Cricetulus griseus: one gene and its partners. The protein of the gene in region 3 purifies or fractionates together with the protein of the main gene of each other region. This does not show direct contact. Links are inferred from orthologs where the notes say so. Each region holds a gene or a part of one and is shown on either strand. Other genes may lie near its edges.

Evidence for each region. Proteins that work in one complex are often made in the same cells at the same time.
Region 1: the proteins of Srpk3 (region 3) and Ftsj3 purify together in Homo sapiens (affinity purification with mass spectrometry; 3 studies listed by BioGRID and IntAct, with this or other methods). This does not show direct contact. The link is inferred for Cricetulus griseus from reciprocal best matches to the Homo sapiens genes SRPK3 and FTSJ3.
Region 2: the proteins of Srpk3 (region 3) and Son purify together in Homo sapiens (affinity purification with mass spectrometry; 3 studies listed by BioGRID and IntAct, with this or other methods). This does not show direct contact. The link is inferred for Cricetulus griseus from reciprocal best matches to the Homo sapiens genes SRPK3 and SON.
Region 4: the proteins of Srpk3 (region 3) and Ebna1bp2 purify together in Homo sapiens (affinity purification with mass spectrometry; 3 studies listed by BioGRID and IntAct, with this or other methods). This does not show direct contact. The link is inferred for Cricetulus griseus from reciprocal best matches to the Homo sapiens genes SRPK3 and EBNA1BP2.

What each region holds. Positions count from the first base shown.
Region 1 is NC_048600.1:119,201,763-119,206,046, forward strand, and holds the start of Ftsj3 (pre-rRNA 2'-O-ribose RNA methyltransferase FTSJ3), read right to left. Parts: upstream 2,801-4,284; 5' UTR 2,604-2,800; intron 2,521-2,603; 5' UTR 2,496-2,520; coding exon 2,429-2,495; intron 2,299-2,428; coding exon 2,193-2,298; intron 1,702-2,192; coding exon 1,655-1,701; intron 1,553-1,654; coding exon 1,473-1,552; intron 929-1,472; coding exon 829-928; intron 748-828; coding exon 553-747; intron 473-552; coding exon 357-472; intron 261-356; coding exon 156-260; intron 76-155; coding exon 1-75. Other genes in the region: Psmc5 (26S proteasome regulatory subunit 8), read left to right, coding at 3,016-3,069, 3,680-3,751.
Region 2 is NC_048597.1:6,128,890-6,133,139, forward strand, and holds the start of Son (protein SON), read right to left. Parts: upstream 2,801-4,250; 5' UTR 2,550-2,800; coding exon 2,473-2,549; intron 1-2,472. UniProt on the Homo sapiens protein: RNA-binding protein that acts as a mRNA splicing cofactor by promoting efficient splicing of transcripts that possess weak splice sites.
Region 3 is NC_048604.1:1,965,131-1,969,133, reverse strand, and holds the start of Srpk3 (SRSF protein kinase 3), read left to right. Parts: upstream 1-1,203; 5' UTR 1,204-1,255; coding exon 1,256-1,311; intron 1,312-1,388; coding exon 1,389-1,519; intron 1,520-1,699; coding exon 1,700-1,808; intron 1,809-1,908; coding exon 1,909-1,996; intron 1,997-2,274; coding exon 2,275-2,362; intron 2,363-2,826; coding exon 2,827-2,933; intron 2,934-3,003; coding exon 3,004-3,169; intron 3,170-3,265; coding exon 3,266-3,291; intron 3,292-3,784; coding exon 3,785-3,914; intron 3,915-4,003. UniProt on the Homo sapiens protein: Serine/arginine-rich protein-specific kinase which specifically phosphorylates its substrates at serine residues located in regions rich in arginine/serine dipeptides, known as RS domains.
Region 4 is NC_048595.1:33,706,566-33,710,633, forward strand, and holds the start of Ebna1bp2 (probable rRNA-processing protein EBP2), read right to left. Parts: upstream 2,801-4,068; 5' UTR 2,730-2,800; coding exon 2,664-2,729; intron 2,584-2,663; coding exon 2,500-2,583; intron 2,313-2,499; coding exon 2,140-2,312; intron 1,631-2,139; coding exon 1,507-1,630; intron 402-1,506; coding exon 312-401; intron 60-311; coding exon 1-59. Other genes in the region: Cfap57 (cilia- and flagella-associated protein 57), read left to right, coding at 3,303-3,459. UniProt on the Homo sapiens protein: Required for the processing of the 27S pre-rRNA.

The DNA.
Region 1 (4,284 bases), on a different chromosome or scaffold from region 3:
GATGTCCTGACAGCATGCTCTTATATCCTCAGTTGTAGCTGGATGCTGTGCTAACTCTTCATCATCTATTGAAATCTATTTGTGGGGGAAAGGAATGAAATTTCTTTCTGGACATGTTTCTGGGGCTCCCTTATACCTTCAATCTGTGAACTCACTTCGCTGGCCTTGGAAAGAAAGTCAACAGGATTGGCAGCTCGCAAGAAGTCAGTGACTGAGGTTCGGTGATAAAGAGTGAGGTCACCCTCAGCATAGCCTTCAGCCTTAGGAAGAGGAATCAAGATGGCTGGTTAGACAGTCCCTTTTTGGATGTCAAGCATTCCCAGTTTCAGGACCCATTTCTCAAAACAAAAAAGCACCTTTGGCTTCTTCTTTGTCACCAACTCGGTAACAGTTTTAGCCTGAACTTCAACCTCCTTAAAGGCAAACTTAGGATCGAAGAATTTACTGTCAACCTTGTCAGGAGCCAGAAACCCTAAAAATGGTAAGATAGATCAAAGGTATGCCTTCATAACTAGAAAGCTGTGTCAAGAGAAAGAAGTAGTGATGTCCTACCTTGGCAGACTACAAAAATTTCTGCAGATTCATGGCGAGAGGCCTGGGGCTTCGTGGCCTGGACACGGTGGAACAGCTGCTGGAAGATCCATAGCAGGGGCTGATAGTCACGGGAACGGAAAACTTTTGTGATGAAACAACCACCACGGGCCAAAAAATCACAAGCCAAACGCAGCGCCATCAGTGTCAAGTTAGCTGTAGGACAGAGACAGTAAGAATCTGCAGCCTCAGGGCGTGACACCTCCACCCTCACCTCCAAGCCCCACATTCCTTTACCTTGTGAGTAAGCATCATGGACCCAACTAGCCCCAACATTAGGAGCCCCATCATTGAGTACAACATCAACCTTCCATGTCTTCAGCTCCTTCCTCAGGGCCTGTGAAAAGTAAAGGGTTTAGAGCAACAGAAACAAAAGGGCTAAGAAAAGAATTCCTAGTTCAGTGTTGTCTGGTTGTTTACTTAGTGCCCACCATTGGCAGCATCCTGTACCAAGTACTGGGAATGCAACAATAAACAACATTTCTGTCTTCACCAAGCTTAGAATAAGTTCACTGGGAAAGCGCTTTACTGAAGATCTCTTGTCCTGCTACCAATTCACAGCACTATTTCTACCAGGCCATGGTAGCACATGCCTGTAATCCCAGTGCTCAGTAGGCAGAGGCTGCAAGATCAAGGCCAACCTTGTTCTGTGTCAGTCTTCGCTACATATGTATATAAGCTAGCCTGAAGTACACAGCAAGACCCTGTCTCAAGGAAAAAAGAAAACCTTGATTCTAAGTAAAGCTGGAAATGCACACTAAGATTGTCATGGGTCTTTTGGGAGCATGTGCTTAAAAACCATGGGAAATTGGGAAGTGTTTCACCCTTACAAGGCAATGATGTCAGCACATAACAGGGCAGGAAGGAGAAATTCTTATTACCTGCCTACATCGCTCTGTTGTGATATCTTCCTGGAGAGTCACAACATTGGGAAGAGGCTTGATTGGAACCAGGTCCACTCCTGGAAGAAGTTAGGTCAGTGTATTATTGGGTGGAGGAAGAGGTAGAACAAAGTTAGTACTGCAAACACCCTCTCCCTCTAACACCCAGGAGAGTCACTCACCCACAATAAGACTGGATACAGGCATAAACTTGGCAGCCACCTGCAACCTGTAGAAAGGATAAATTAAAACACCTCCCCCTTCTTTGGCAATGTGATGATTCACCCCTTTTAGGGATACCTATTACATGTAGTGGCCAAATGTCTTTATGCACACATTCTCTACAATCATGAAGCAAACTGCTTGAATTCCAGCACAGGCCTGCATTCCCAGCTCAAAGGGCAAGGCAGTAAGTTCAAAAGTTTAAGGCCATACTAGACAACTTTTAAATTCTCCCTGTCTCAAGAAATAATAAAGCAGATTGGGGTATAACTCAGAGGTAGTGCGCCTGTCTAACATGAGGAAGCCCTTGGGTTCAGCCACAGTTCAGGAAAACTGTCTTCCAAAGTTTCAGAAAGGAACGTACTATAATATATTTAATCTCAATCACCTAATTGCTGTAACGGATTTGGGTAGAGATCCGATTACCACCCCCAAAGCAACTCAAAACCAATCAGGGCCAGGAAGGTGCCACCAAGAGCAGCCCCTGCCAAATGTTACCATCCTCCGGGCGCAGCACACAGGTCCAGCAAGGCCCGGGCTTTTTGCAGGAACTGAAAGCGGCGATTGAGCTGGATCAGTTTGAAGGCGGAGCGCGAACGATAACCTGGGCCGTAGAGAGTTAGTGTAGAAAACAATAACGCCTACGGAAGCCTTTCCTATCAGGACTTCACGGCCTCACACCCATCGGCCCCTCTAAGGAAAAGCAGTCAGTCAGAAAAAGTGGGCCGACTCACCGGTCTCCTTGGCCAAGTGATAGAACTTGTCCCGCCGGCTCTTGCCGACTTTGCCTTTCTTGCCCATGGTGCGAGGGGTGAGATCACTCACTCTGGGGAGAAAGGGAAAGTTGAGAGCATCTTCCCGAAAACTGGGTTCTGCTTCGGTTTCTCAGTGGGCGAAGATCTCACTCACCGGGCACCGAGACAGCCCTGAACTCCACAGGGCTTTCAACACCGGAAGTAGCACATGTAGGCAGCAATCGTACTTCCGCTTCCGCTCGCGGTTTTCTTTTTTGCATTCCTGGCTTTGTTTTCCGCCATTTTGAGTGTGGCCAAAAATTTTGTGTCCGCTGGTCTTACAAGTCAAACGAGAAGCCTAAGAAGGCCGCGCACAATTGCTACTATCCTAGCCTCTAAGAAACAACAGCCAGAAGGCCTGTGTCTCTTCGCTCCCTCCGAAAGCTACTGACGTCCAGCAGCTCCTCTCCCATTAGAGCCTGTGTTATGGTCTCGCCACACACCCCGCCCATTGACCCGGAAGTGTTCTCTGCCGGGTCCCAGGCCGCAGGCTTCCGCCTCCGCGCCTGCGCGGTAGGGCGACTTGGATGCCGGCGGTCTCTGCCGAAAGAGGGAAGATGGCGCTTGATGGGCCGGAGCAGGTAAGGCGGCCGGCGGCGGCGGCGGCGCGCGGGGCGGGGCGGGGCGGCCACCCGAGCTGAGTGCCGGGTGCTTGTAATCGGAAGTGAGAGGTGGCCGAGAGCGAGGGGTCGAGTGGGTGAAGGATGGGTGGACCACGCCAGACGACCCTGCCTGGCACTGGATCTGCTGTGTCAGCGCCGCCCGGGTTGAGCAGGACAGGGCTGGGTAGAAGGAGCTGGGAGCTAGGCGAGCAGGAAGGGCCTGCGGTTGGACCTGGACTCGGGTCCTCCGCTTTGACTTTGTAGAAGTTAAACCTTGGGTTTTGTATAGCTCTTGCCATAGAGAAAAGTGCTCCGTGTATTCATGGCCCCCTGAGCCTCCTGAAAGTCTTCGAAGTTGGGTGGTAATTGCATCCTTTTTTAGTGGATTCAAAAGGGAAGGGTTAGAACCAAGAACTAAACTAAGCCTCCGAAGTTTAAACACACAGACCTCACCCATCGAGATCTGAGGAAAGGGGATGGGATTTTTCTGGCCCTGTTTCTTAAGCCATATGGCGACGTGCCCTGGGAACAGTTTGGCTTAATCCCTTAGTAGTTTAGGCACTTGTTTAACAGTTACACTTGTCTTCAGATGGAACTGGAAGAGGGGAAGGCAGGCAGTGGACTCCGCCAATATTATCTGTCTAAGATTGAAGAACTCCAGGTGAGTACCGACACCAGAGGGAGCTAGTCGAAGATGAGAAGTGATAGACGCAGAAATTGCAAGTCCTTATTCCACTGGGAGGACAGTGAAGAGTCCTTTTCCTGTGTTGTTCCCTTGTGGGGTTTTGTTGTTGTTTTTTTTTTTTTAATTTATTATGTGTATGTGTGCATACAATGCTTGTGTAAGTTTATATGCACCATATGTGTGCAGGTGCCTGTGGAGGCCAGAAGAGGGCAATGGATTCCCCTGGAACTTGAGTTACAGGTGGTTATGAGCTACCATGGATACTGAGAACTAAACCCAGGCCCTCTGCAAAAGCTGTAAGCCCTCTAAACTGCTGAGTAATCTCTTCAGCCCCTTTTTGTAGTTAGGAATTAATAAGCAGTGTAAAGCATATTAATAATCTCCTGCCCTAAGTGCCCATTCCTTTGATTTAGTATTTATTATTTGAGTAGTATTTAGTTACGGTTTGTTTGTTTGCTTGCTTTTTAAGACTACCATTTTATTTTACGTGTATGGGTGTTTTGCCTGCA
Region 2 (4,250 bases), on a different chromosome or scaffold from region 3:
GCCATCACTGCCCGGCCAATAATTTCTTCCTAATGCTACCAGGATGTAATTACAATCACTGAAAAGCAATTAGAATTTAAAGCCACTTTGCTATCCAACAATGTGCCCTGAAAAGGAATTTATAGTTATGAAAAATATTCAAATTATTAAGAATTCAAACTACACAGTATATGTCTAAAACACACAATACAAAATGATCACATTAAGAGAAGGTGTCACACACCTTTAATCCCAGTGCTTGGGAGGCAGAGGCAGGTCAATCTCTGTGATTTTGAGGCCAGCCTGTTCTACATAATGAGTTCCAGCACAGCCACGAGCCAGGGCTACAGAGAAACCATGTCACAAAAGACACCCCCCCACACCCCAAAAAAAGGGCTATAAAAGCAAGGCTTATAAAAACAAGTAAACACATTTAGTGCAGTAAACTACTTAAACGTTCAAAATGGTGGTTGTGGTAGCACAGGACTTTAGTCCCAAAAAAGACAAGATCTCTAAGCATTCAAAGCCAGCCTGATCTACATAGCAAGTTCTAGATCAGCCAGAGCTACATAGTGAGACCCTGCCTCAAATCAACAAAAAGGTTTCTAGGAAAATTCTCTGCCAATGCCTCAAAATGTTTTGTTTTTTTAAAAAAAAGAAACGCCGGTCCCCAAGGAAGAAAAGGAAATTTTCTGAGGAACCTGAAGCTGTTGCTGGCTGTACAAAGAATACAAAGAAAAAATCCCAGAAAGCATCCCAGGAGGATTAGAATGGACATGCTTTGTGGGAGGGGCATACCTTAAGGTGACAGTTCCTACCCATGATAAACCCCAATAAAAACACAAAAAACACAAAAAACACAAAAAAAAAAAAAAAAACACGAAACGCTGGGAGTTGGTGGTGCACGCCTTTAATCCCAGCACTTGGGAGGCAGAGGCAGGCGGATGACTGTGAGTTCCAGATCACCCTGGTCTACAAGAGCTAGTTCCAGGACAGGCTCAAAAGCTACAATTAGGGACATGGATATGGATACATATATATATATATTGCTACTTAAAAAAAAATAGCCATGCAGTGGTGGCACACATCTTTAATGCCAGCACTAAGGAGGTAGAGGCATGTGACTCTCTGAGCCAAGGCCAGCCTGGTCTACAGAGTGAGTTCCAGGACAGCAATGTATACGGAGAAACCCTATCTCAAAAAAACAAAACGAAATAGGGGGGAATGTTGTAGTAGCTCAGGCCTGTGATCCCACCCATCACTAGGAGGTGTGGCTACACGACAAGGCTGTAAGCAGTGACATTCGTAGAGCCTGTCCTCAATAAAGAAAAATGAAAGAACCAAAACAACAACAACAAAAAATTACATTTTGAAAAAAAAAAAAACAAAATCGCAGCAATAAAATATTATTGCACGAATAACCCTAGCTAATTTGGGCACATAATTTACAACCGCTTATCAGTTGATTTTCTAATTCACATATTACTGCTCTCAACTTACACCATTCGTAAAGAACGTTTCTTAACTCAGAATATTTACTTTTCAAGAACTCTTTCTTGAAGAGTATTTTAAAGAAGCGGTCATGTGATACACAATATTACTACTAGAAGAAAACCATTGAATATAATCCCCACTATTTTCCGGAGTAAACAACTTCGGAAATTTCTTCCACTTGAAATTTTGGGAACCAAGGGTCATCTCTGAAGTCTACTTGCAGTGACAAAAAAAATAAAAAAAATAAAAAATAAAACCAAAAAAAAAAAAAAAAAAAACCCAGCGCGGCGACGTTCTTGAAATCTGCCCATTAAGTCAGGGCAGCAAGAAAAATAACAGCTCTCCACCCACAGTGCACTTCCTGCTTCACAAGCTTGAGCATCCACCAGTTCCGAAGCCCCCGGCCCGCCTCTGCCGAGTCTTTTTATCGCGTGTCCGCTGTTGAGGAGAGACGTCTCACTTCACCGCTGCTTGTTAAAAGGGGGAGCGCTCGTCCGGTGAACCGCACGGCCGGACGGCCGCCGGCCGCCGAGCGATCCCGAGCGGACAGCGGTGAACAAGTTTCCCCAGGGCCCCGGGGGCGGCCGTTGGAGCCCCTTTCCGGCGTGGACGGCGGCGGGCGAGCTGCGCGGAGGCGGGGAGGGGGAGGGGAGAGGCGGCGGCGGAGGAGGGGCCGCCGGGGACCAGGCCGGGCCTGGCGGACGCCGGGCCTCCTCCCTCCTCCGCCCGCCCGCCCGCCGGCCGCCCAAACCCGGCCGGGGCGCGCCTCGAGCCCGCGGGGAGGCCGGCGAGTGCGGACCGCGGCCCGGCCGCCGCCGCCCCCCCCGGGAGGAGCGGCGCGGATCGGGGATGGCCCGGAAAATGGAGCCCGGGCCCAGGCGGGGCCGGAGCGGGGCCCGAGCCGACAGACGACGGCGTCGCCGTCAAAGACGCCCCGGGAGGGCGGACGGGGCGCCCCGGCGGGCCGCGCGGGGCCGCCGAGTCCGGGGGACGGCTTACCTGGAAAGCTCCTGTTGTATTTCCCGGAATTTACTGACCACGAAAGACCTAAAAACCTGCTCGATGTCGGCCGCCATGGCGTCCGCTCCGTTCTCTCAACTCCTCCTCGCTAGTCCTCCAGGCTCCCAGCATGCCTCGGGAGGAGGCGCAGCGGCCAATTCCTTTTACCCGGCTCCGGATTGGCCGGCGGGGGCGCGTCCGGCGGGGCACGCTCCGCCCACGAGCCAATCAGCGAGCGGCGCCGCGCTCTCCTGCGCTGTCTCCGAGCCGCCCGGGGGAGAGGTGCTGACGTTTGCGCCGCGCACCAGCTAGTCCGCCATGTTAGTGCCTGACGCAGGCGCCATTACAGGAGCCGTGGCTCCCGGGGCGAGCGCGCCGGACCCCGGCCGCAAGGGGACCCCTCAGGGGCCTTCCCGTAACGAGTCAGCGCCCGCGACCAGGGGCCGCGGAGGGCGGGGACACGGGGCTGAGGGGCGGGGGGCGGGAAGGCTCGCACGCGCCGGCTGCGAGCGCCAAGCGGACGCGGGTCGGTCGGTCGGGTCGGGTCGAGCTGGGAACGGTGCACGGGAGCGGAGGAGCCCGGACCCCGCCGGGAGGTGCGGAGCAGCGAGCCCCACGCTGCCTCGTTACCGCCTGCGCCCGGCCTCACGGACCCGGTCTCAGCCCAGGCGGCGGCGGAGGCGGCGTCTGCGCGACCTACGTTCTAAACAGGGCGCCCGCGGGGCCCCGTCCCGAGCCCGGCCCCGGCAGGCTCGCCCCTCCCCGGCAGGCCGCCCCGTCCGTCCCCCGCGCGGGGCGCTCTGAGGCAGCGCAGGCTCGCACACCCTACGTGGCAGCCCTGAGGAGACTCGGCGAGCCGCGCGCTGGCTCCCGGGGACGCGGAGCCGGGCTGGGCAGCGAGCTCCGGCCGCGCCCTGGGGCGGCGGGCAGGGCGGGGACCGAGGCGGGCCGGCCAATGGGCGGCAGAGCTCGCCGGAGCGGGGCGGAGGCCCGGGGCCACTTCCGGCGGCGGAGCGGGCGGCCGCGTGCGTGCTGGGGTGCGTGCGTGCGTGCGTGCGGGAGCAGCGTGGCGCGGCGAGGCCGGCCGCAGGTGTGTGGACCCCCTCCGGATCGGGCGTGACTTGCCGGGCCTCCCTCCGCGGCCGGTGCGGGTATGCAGACTGGGCGAGCCGGGCGGGCAGGGTCGCGCTGCTGTGCACGGCCCCGAGCGAGGACCCTCTTCCCCTGCTCTCGGTTTCTGTGTGCACCCCCTCCCAGCCCCGTGCCTTCGGAAGACGGGCCCCTAAAGTGGAGCAAAAGCAGATGGGTTTGTCCTTGTCACTAACGGTTCAGCTGGACCAGCTTTCGTGTTTGCTTTCTGCATTTCTTTTTCCTTCCGAGACGGGGTTTCCCTGCGTGGCTCACCAGGCTGACCTCGAACTCACAGACACCCGCAAGCCCCCGCCTCCCGAGGGCTGGGATTAAAGGCGTGCGCCCCGCCGCCCCGCTTGGTTTCCAGTTTGTAAACAAATGTTTGGGAATGCTTTTGCCCGATTCTTGTATCCTCTCCTTCCCTGACTGAAACTCCTACTAATTAACTGACACCCAAGAAGGGAAAGTCTCCCCAGGCCGGCCGCCCAGGGAGTAAGGAAGGCCCTCTGACTCCGTTGCCCTGATACTCCAAGTGGACACAAAGATGTATTGGCTTCAGCTATTCCTTAGAAGTCTTCTCTAGCGTGCATCTGTGTGCCGCGCGCGCGCGCGCTTGCAGTGCCCAAGGAAGCCGGAAGAGGCTGGTC
Region 3 (4,003 bases):
TCCCAAGTGCTGGGAATATCTTTTTAAAGATAAGGTCTCATGCATCCCAGGCTGGCCTCAAACTTGCTATGTGTCTGGGGATGACTCTGAATTTCTGGTTCTCCTGAGTATTGAGATTACAGGCACATTCCACCACAACTGGTTTATGAAGGGATGGAGATCAATCCTAGGGCTTAATACATACCTGGCATCACTCTACCAACTGAATAGACTCTTCCAAGTTCCAGAGTGGGTTTTCTAAAGAGCAAAAGTACTTGTCCACTTTGCTGGAACTCCCCAGTGACATCCATAGACTCCAGATGAGGTTCTCAGTTGTTTCCCCAGGTCCTAGCCTTCTGTATTGTGCCAGCATATGGTAGTCTCCAGTATTCTCTGTGTTTCCCGGAATGCTTCTGGGGACTCAATGCTCCCTGGTCTCTCAGGATACACAGGATCCTTTAGTTACCACCCAGCTTATGGTCACCAATTGCAGGGTTTTTGTTCTCCTGATCCACAGGAGGAGCTGCAAACATTGGTGGAGACAGTCATCAAGGTAGAGGTGGCCAGCTCTAGAGCTAGGAGTAGGAGACTATACAAGCCAATAGTGATCTCAAGGGCCTGTTGTCTCTGATGGGAGGAATGGGCTGCCTTAAGCTCTTGACCTTGATCCCCTTGGTCAGCCACATTTAGATCTGGGCTCCCACCTGTATGAGGAGGTCCTGTGAATTACAAAAAAAAAGCTGGAATCAGGGCTTATAATAAGCAAAGAATGGGACTCAGATGGATTTAGCAGGGGTCACTTCCAGAAGGATACTCACATGGGTTAAGTGGGAAGTTCTAGAATACATCAAGTGACATACAGCATTTGGAGAGAGCTCATCCTAAGGATCTGGTCACCATGTCAACCACATTCTTTCATAGGAGTCTCCTCTCCCCACAGTCCTAGGGTGTAGGAGCTCCAGACTGCTCTATCACCATGTAGATGTCTTTCTTGGTTGGTCTTGGACTTTGGGGAATTGACCTAGAGGCTGAGTCTCTATTATAACCCCAGCTTGGTGGCCCCTTCTGTCTCTAGAGTATGGGTGAGACAGAAGGGTTCAGCTATCGGTGCACTGCCCCCTCCCTATGCTGCATACCTTGCCCACAGCTGAGCAGCTGGGAGGCTATTTATAAAGACGGGTGAGATCAGCGGCAGAGGCTATAAATGTACTGGCCACAGCTAGGCCCCACAGGAACAGTGGTCCAGTGCAACAGAGCTTTGGGCTGCAACACCAGGATGAGTGCCAATGCTGGTGGTAGTGGTGGTGTGGACTGTGGTGGCAGTAGCAGCAGGTATGACCAGGCTGGGGAGACGGAGGTCCCATACACCTTATGAGCTTACTGCCTGTGTCCTCCCTCTTCACCCACAGCTCTCAGACTTCCTGTGGGCCGGAGTCCTCAGGGTCTGAATTAGCTCCAGCCACACCGGCACCTCCGTTGCTACAGGGGTTCCTGGGCTCTGATGAGGAAGAGCAGGAAGATCCCAAGGACTATTGCAGGGGTAAGGCCTGACCTTGGCTGCATGTGGTCCACCAGATTGACACAGGGGTTCAGGACAGCCTGGGAGGAAGAAGTTGCCCAGAGACTAGGCCTCTCATGGGACAGATGATCAGCAGGACTAGGCTATCTTGAGGGATAGGAGAGAGACGCCCTACTCTGATCTATCGGCTTCCTTCTGCAGGTGGCTACTACCCAGTGAAGATAGGTGATTTGTTCAATGGACGGTACCATGTGGTGCGCAAGCTAGGCTGGGGCCACTTCTCTACAGTCTGGCTCTGCTGGGATATTCAGTGAGTAGCTGGGATCTGCCTGTGGGTTTGGTTGAGGCTACCACCATGACCATGTGAGTCTGGCAAAGACTGGTAGCCTATAAGGGTCTCCATATTACAGGCGCAAGCGCTTCGTGGCCCTGAAAGTAGTGAAGAGCGCAGGGCATTACACAGAGACAGCTGTGGATGAGATCAAGCTCCTGAAATGTGTGAGGCGCCTCCCCTACTGTTCCCAGCTTCTCAAACTGCTTTGGGCCTGGCAATGTGGGTGCAGGGCCTGCTGGGGCCCTGCAGAGTGGGGCGGGGCAGCTCCAGCTGGTTCTGCCAAGTAAGAGGACCTGGAGGGCAGACACCTAAAAGAGGCAGTTGCCTCTCTAAGTGGGCCCCAGCTGGACTGGGAAAGGGGGCAAGAAGTGCTTAAGAGGAGTTGAGCAGCTGGTGAGGAACAGGTTGGAGCCATCTGTGGCTCGTTGCCTTTTTGTTCCAGGTCCGGGACAGTGACCCTAGTGACCCCAAAAGAGAGACCATTGTTCAACTCATTGATGACTTCAGGATCTCAGGAGTTAATGGAGTCCGTATCCTTCAAAGGATGAGCAATATGGCAGTCAAAGGACCCCAGACTTCTGGTCTGCACCATGGGACTCAGCCCTTACAGAGACATCCCATGAAGCAACCCCACAATGCCCTTTGAGCATTTGTGTTTTTGAGTTGGGGTATCACAGTAGGACACTGCTGAATGACCCCCAAAATATAAAAGGCTGCTTTTGAGGCCTTTTGAACAATTGGGCAGACAGAAGAGTAAGGCTGGTCTGAGAGGCATCTCTAAGATGATAAAAGGTACCATCCCAACTGGCATACCTTTGCTGGTGACAGAAACACTATAAACAATAAACTGAGACAGTGATAGCCACCAAGATGGTCCAGAGAAAGTCCTGCTTTCCTGACCTCTGCACCACAGGAGCCTAGGCGCTCCTGTGCTGGAGGGTAGGTAAGCCTGTGCATTAGTTGTGTTGCTGGCTGCCCTTCACTCCAAGTCCAGATGTGTGCATGGTGCTAGAGGTCCTGGGCCACCAGCTCCTCAAGTGGATCATCAAGTCCAACTACCAGGGCCTGCCTGTACCCTGTGTTAAGAGCATTGTTAGGCAGGTAGGTGCTGCCCCAGGCTACACAGCTTGGCTGGGTGTGGCTGCTGGGGTTCAGCTATAGCTTTCACCAGGTGCTACATGGTCTGGATTACCTCCATACTAAGTGCAAGATCATCCATACGGACATCAAGCCTGAGAACATCCTACTGTGTGTTGGAGATGCCTACATCAGGCACCTGGCTGCTGAAGCCACAGAGTGGCAGCAGTCAGGGGCCCAGCCCCCATCCCGCTCCACAGGTACCAAGAGCATGTGTGGGGACTCTTGCCAGGACTCAGGCCACAATCCCTACCTGAATTACTATTCTTTTTCTCTCCCTAACCCCTACCCCGTAGTCAGCACCGCCCCCCAGGAGGTCTTGGTAAGTTGTGGCATCCCTCTTTCCCTGTTTCCTTTTCCCATCCAAGGCAGATGAGCCATATCCTCAGGGCTGGGCTCCTCAGCCACACCTGTTCCACTTTATGAACTTCTGCAGTGGCATCTCTAAATAGTTGGGTACATGAGAAAAGAGTGATTATACAACAGTGGGCTATGTGCTCCAAACTGCTTCTGGTGACCCACTATCACTTCAATGGAAAGATACTGTGCCTTCACCAAATGGCTATTTCAGGCCGCTTCATCTAAGCTAGGAGTGGACAAGGAGCAATTTAGGGCAGGCCCACCACATTCTCCCAAACAACAAAGCTTTAGGGAGTAGGAAGATAGGAGGAAAGGCAGAGAAATGGATGAGGGGCTGGCACTAAGGGTGAGACAAAAGGTAGTACCACCATTTCTCTGACACCCCCATAGGAGTTAGTTCTGGGGTCCAGGGCTAGGCAGAGAAACTAAGGAGGTGACCCTCACTCTGGTGGCAGACTGGTAAGCTATCCAAAAATAAGAGGAAGAAGATGAGGCGTAAAAGAAAGCAACAGAAGCGGCTGCTGGAGGAGCGGCTGCGGGACTTGCAGAGGCTGGAGGCCATGGAAGCGGCAGTACAGGCTGAGGGTGAGGGGCCAGAGAGGGCACTGGGTTACTAAGCATGCAAGTGGAATACAGGTCTCTGCTCAAGGTGCACTTCTGCCCCTTCTCCCCAG
Region 4 (4,068 bases), on a different chromosome or scaffold from region 3:
ATGGCATTCATCATATGTGCTTTCTCCCGTTGCCTCTTCTGAAGGACCTCAGTCTGCACCTGTGAGACAGACACAAGGTCAGTCATGCATCTCAAAACACGACTCCTGCTGCTACCTGCTGATATACTGGGTGCACCATGGTGCCCCATGGTGTCAAGTGAACCTGCACTCAGGGATTATGGTGGACACACTTCACCAGTAAGACTCACAGGACCAAACACACACACACCGGGCAAGAACCAAATCACACCACAGCAATCAGACCTGACATTCCTGGCCTTGTCCTATTCCATGCAGGTGTTCTTTCTTACCTTCTTTCCATACTTCCTAAGCGCTCGAAGTTGCTTGGCCTTTTCAGATTTCTCCATGGCAGCCTGTTTAGTCTGCAGCTTCTGTCGAATCTAAAACACAGGATGTTGTCAGGTATTATACAGAGTACACTAGACCAGGGCACCAGGATTCCATTAGCTCTGAAAGCCATGGATCTTGTGTACTTTCCTAGTTTTCCACATACAGACAATGCGGCCCCAAAGCTGAGCCCTTTATCCAGGAACCAACTGTCAGTGTGCAGATCTTAAAAGCAGCCCTGCCTCCTCAAGCACGCTTGTTCTCTTATATAAAGCTGCCTGTTTGTCACACAAGACCTGTTTTCTCCCAAGCCCATTTACAGATCAAGGCTAAACTTCAGTGCCCTCTTTAAGGGGTCACTGCACACTGATCCCTTGCCTCTCCCATCAAACACAAACATTTTACTGAAAGCATAAGTAGTCATCAGTGTTACTGTCAGGTTAATCTGGGCTTATCTCCAGGTTAGTTTCTTGGGGTACCACCTAGAATTCTCTAAGATGAAGACTGAAGCCAAGGGAACAATTTAAATACATCCTGGATTCCGAGTCAAGAAGTTTTTTTCCTCCCAAAGTTAAATGAGGATCAAGTCCCCCAACCCTAAATTACACTGTATCTGAGCCATCTATCAACCCCTCACTTTCTAGAAAACAGAGGCCCAGAGAAGAAAAACCTTTCTATAAGCAATAGTATTCTCGTTGGGCCCAGAACTACAAAACTGTTGTGTCTATACACCATGCCACTAACCCTGCCAAGAAGGGAATACAAGCCTTCTTTATCACAGGGACCACACCTCTTCCAGCTCTTCTCTCCGTTTTACCAAGTGACTGGCGTGCCTCTGAAGCAGAGACTCTCCATTAGAAATACTGATTACAGGGGCTAGAGAGATGGGTCAGTGGTTAAGAGCACTGGCTATTCTTCCAGAGGCCCTACATTCAATTCCCAGCCTCTACATGGCAGCTCACAACTGTTTGTAAACCCAATTACAGGATATCTTGACACCCTCACACCACTACACATAAAAAAATAAAGTAAAATAAATTACCAAAAAAAAAAAAAAATACTGATTACAGCCAACATAAATCCTTTTTAAAAACCACCAGCTGAATACTTCAGGGTGAAGCCCTGGCTTTCCAGAGAAAAAACTTGCCTGTCTCTTACCTTTTGCATCTGCTGGTCAGACTTGGCCATTTCTGCAAAATAATCTGTGGGTCGCTTGGTGGGGACTTGGAGCTGATGGAGCCGGGGTAATACTGCAAGCACTGCAGCCTGGGCCTGGCGGTAGCTGAAATTTCAGGACGGAGTTAAATGAGGGGTGAAGAAAGGCCTTCATTTCTTACTGCCTCTCAGGACTTAACTAGACTCAGGACTATCAATATCCCTCTGGCACTAGCAAGACAAAACAAAAACTGCAATAAAACTCCACTAATTTCATATAACAGAAATCTCATTTTACACTTATTTTTAAGGGGAAAATACTTCTAAGAATAAATCAACAGCTTAAAACAATAAGCTTATTAAAGGTACCATTAACATACAAAGTATGACCTCTTTCCCAATCATTACAAAGTCCCCTCGAAGCCTTCCCTAGGCAGTCTGCTCTGACTGGATGCACCCACACAAACTTTAAATAGCCCTTAGGCAGGGCACAGGTTAAATGATGACCAAGGAGCTATTCTTTCAAGCAGGAGGCACCCAAGGTTCGCGCTAACTCCTCGGTGTCTCTGAGGGGGGCAGGCATACTATACTCCCCTTCCCATGATTCTCTATCACAGGACTCATAACAAAACATACAAACTCATTTCCCTCTGGAAGTCGTCTTCTGGATTAACACCTTTCTTCTGGTCCTTGTTCTGGGGGGTTGGCTGAGTTTCACTGACTTCTGGCACTGGACCCAGGGTCACATCGAGCCTTTCAACCCACTCCAGATCCCGTCTGAATTCAGCCAAACACTGTTTCAGGCCATTCTAGGTAAGTCAGACACGGTGCTCATGAGAACCCAGAGTTTATCTCTCTCAAGCCCAAAGTGCTAAGCTCAAATACCAGTACAGCTCAAGGCACAGGGGGCATTTTTCTCGCAACAGTAGGTCTCCCAAGTAGCAGGGCGCCTATGCACACCCCATTCCAAGGACCCCAACCCGCGAGCGAGCTCACCACGTCATTCACCGCCTTCTTCGGCCTCTCTAGCACAACGTTGAGGCCTGGCTTCAGGAGTCCTCGGGAAAATGCATCCTGCAACTACAGACCCGGGGGCGTCAGTACCAGAGAGCTGGAGTTCCCGTTCCACGCCCTGTCCCGCGAGCCCCGCAGCCGCCTACCTCCCGGTCTGAGACCAGGGACTCTTCCGACTCCGCGTCCGAGTCTGAGAGCGGAGGGGTGTCCATCTCGCGATCTCCCGCCCCGCGGGGCGCGACAGCCACTCCACGTGCCCTGAAGACGAACCCGCGCCGGCAGCTTCTCCACAAGCCTCTGGCTTTTCGATCCGGACTTCCGCTTCCGGGTGCAGAGCCGCACTTCCGGTTTCTCGTTGCTATAGGAACCGCTCCGGTGTTTGGGCGTGCTTAGGTTGCTCGGGATATTTAGGAGGAGTACCTGCGGATCCCCGCTTGGTTTCGTAACCCAGGGTCGTGAAGCAAGAGGTGAGAGGTTTCTCTGAGGTCCTCTGAAGAGCCTGGGGTCGTTGAGGGAACAAGAGAGAAAGGCAAAGCGCGGAAGGAGCTGTGGGCGGGGGGAGGGGGGACAAGAGGAGGAGCCTGGGGGAGGGGCGACGAGGAGAGGAGTCTGGGGGGGGGGCAATGAAGGGGTGAGTTGTGGTTAGGGAGGGGCGGGCCAAAAGCGGATCCAGGACTGGGCGGGGCGGGGCCATGGGCGGGGCGGGGCCATGGGCGGGGGCGGGAGATGCAGTTCTTTCTCACCAGCCGCTGCTTTATCTTCAGCAGCACTTTCTGACAGGTACCATGTCCACCGTCGTAGCTCAGGCGCTGCATGTTTTTGGTCTTCGGTCGTACGTGGCCAACAATGTCTTCTTCTTCGATGAACAGATCATTATATTTCCTTCAGGAAATCACTGTGTGAAGTACAATGTGGATCAGAAATGGCAAAAATTCATTCCAGGTAAAAAGAAAGGGGGAAAAAAAAAACCTTCCCATCCTGTCACATATGTGAAAGGCTGTGCTACACAGAACCATGCAGTCTCAACGATTAGGAAGGTCTTTCTTGACAACTGGATATACATGTAGTTTTATAAATGTCAATTTGCACTGCTTAATTCTTAATTATAGACTAACCTGACACATGTAGTCAAAATGACTTGCATATTAACACTAATTTTAAATAATTTTAAAAAGTATTTTTTCACTGTGACTTCATAAAAGAGTTACTTTAAACAGTGTTTTTCTTGTATTGTCCTGCAGTGAGTTTGTCCTCACCAGAACCTTTTTTTTTTTTTTTTTTTTTTTTTTTGAGTAACAGTTTCAAGAATCCTTGTATGGTGGAGACACTGACAATTTTAACCCAAGTCACAAATAATCTTCCTTAAAACCTGACCCCTGTTTTTGTTTACATTAGTCCAGCCAATGATATTCATGACGCTTCCCCTACTTTTTTATCCCTTCACATGCAAATATAAAAGACCACAATACATATATGTAATCATTAATGAATTATTACTGTTAGTATTCAAGCATCTATCTGTACTGGCCTGTTCTTGGGGGCTCTGACAGG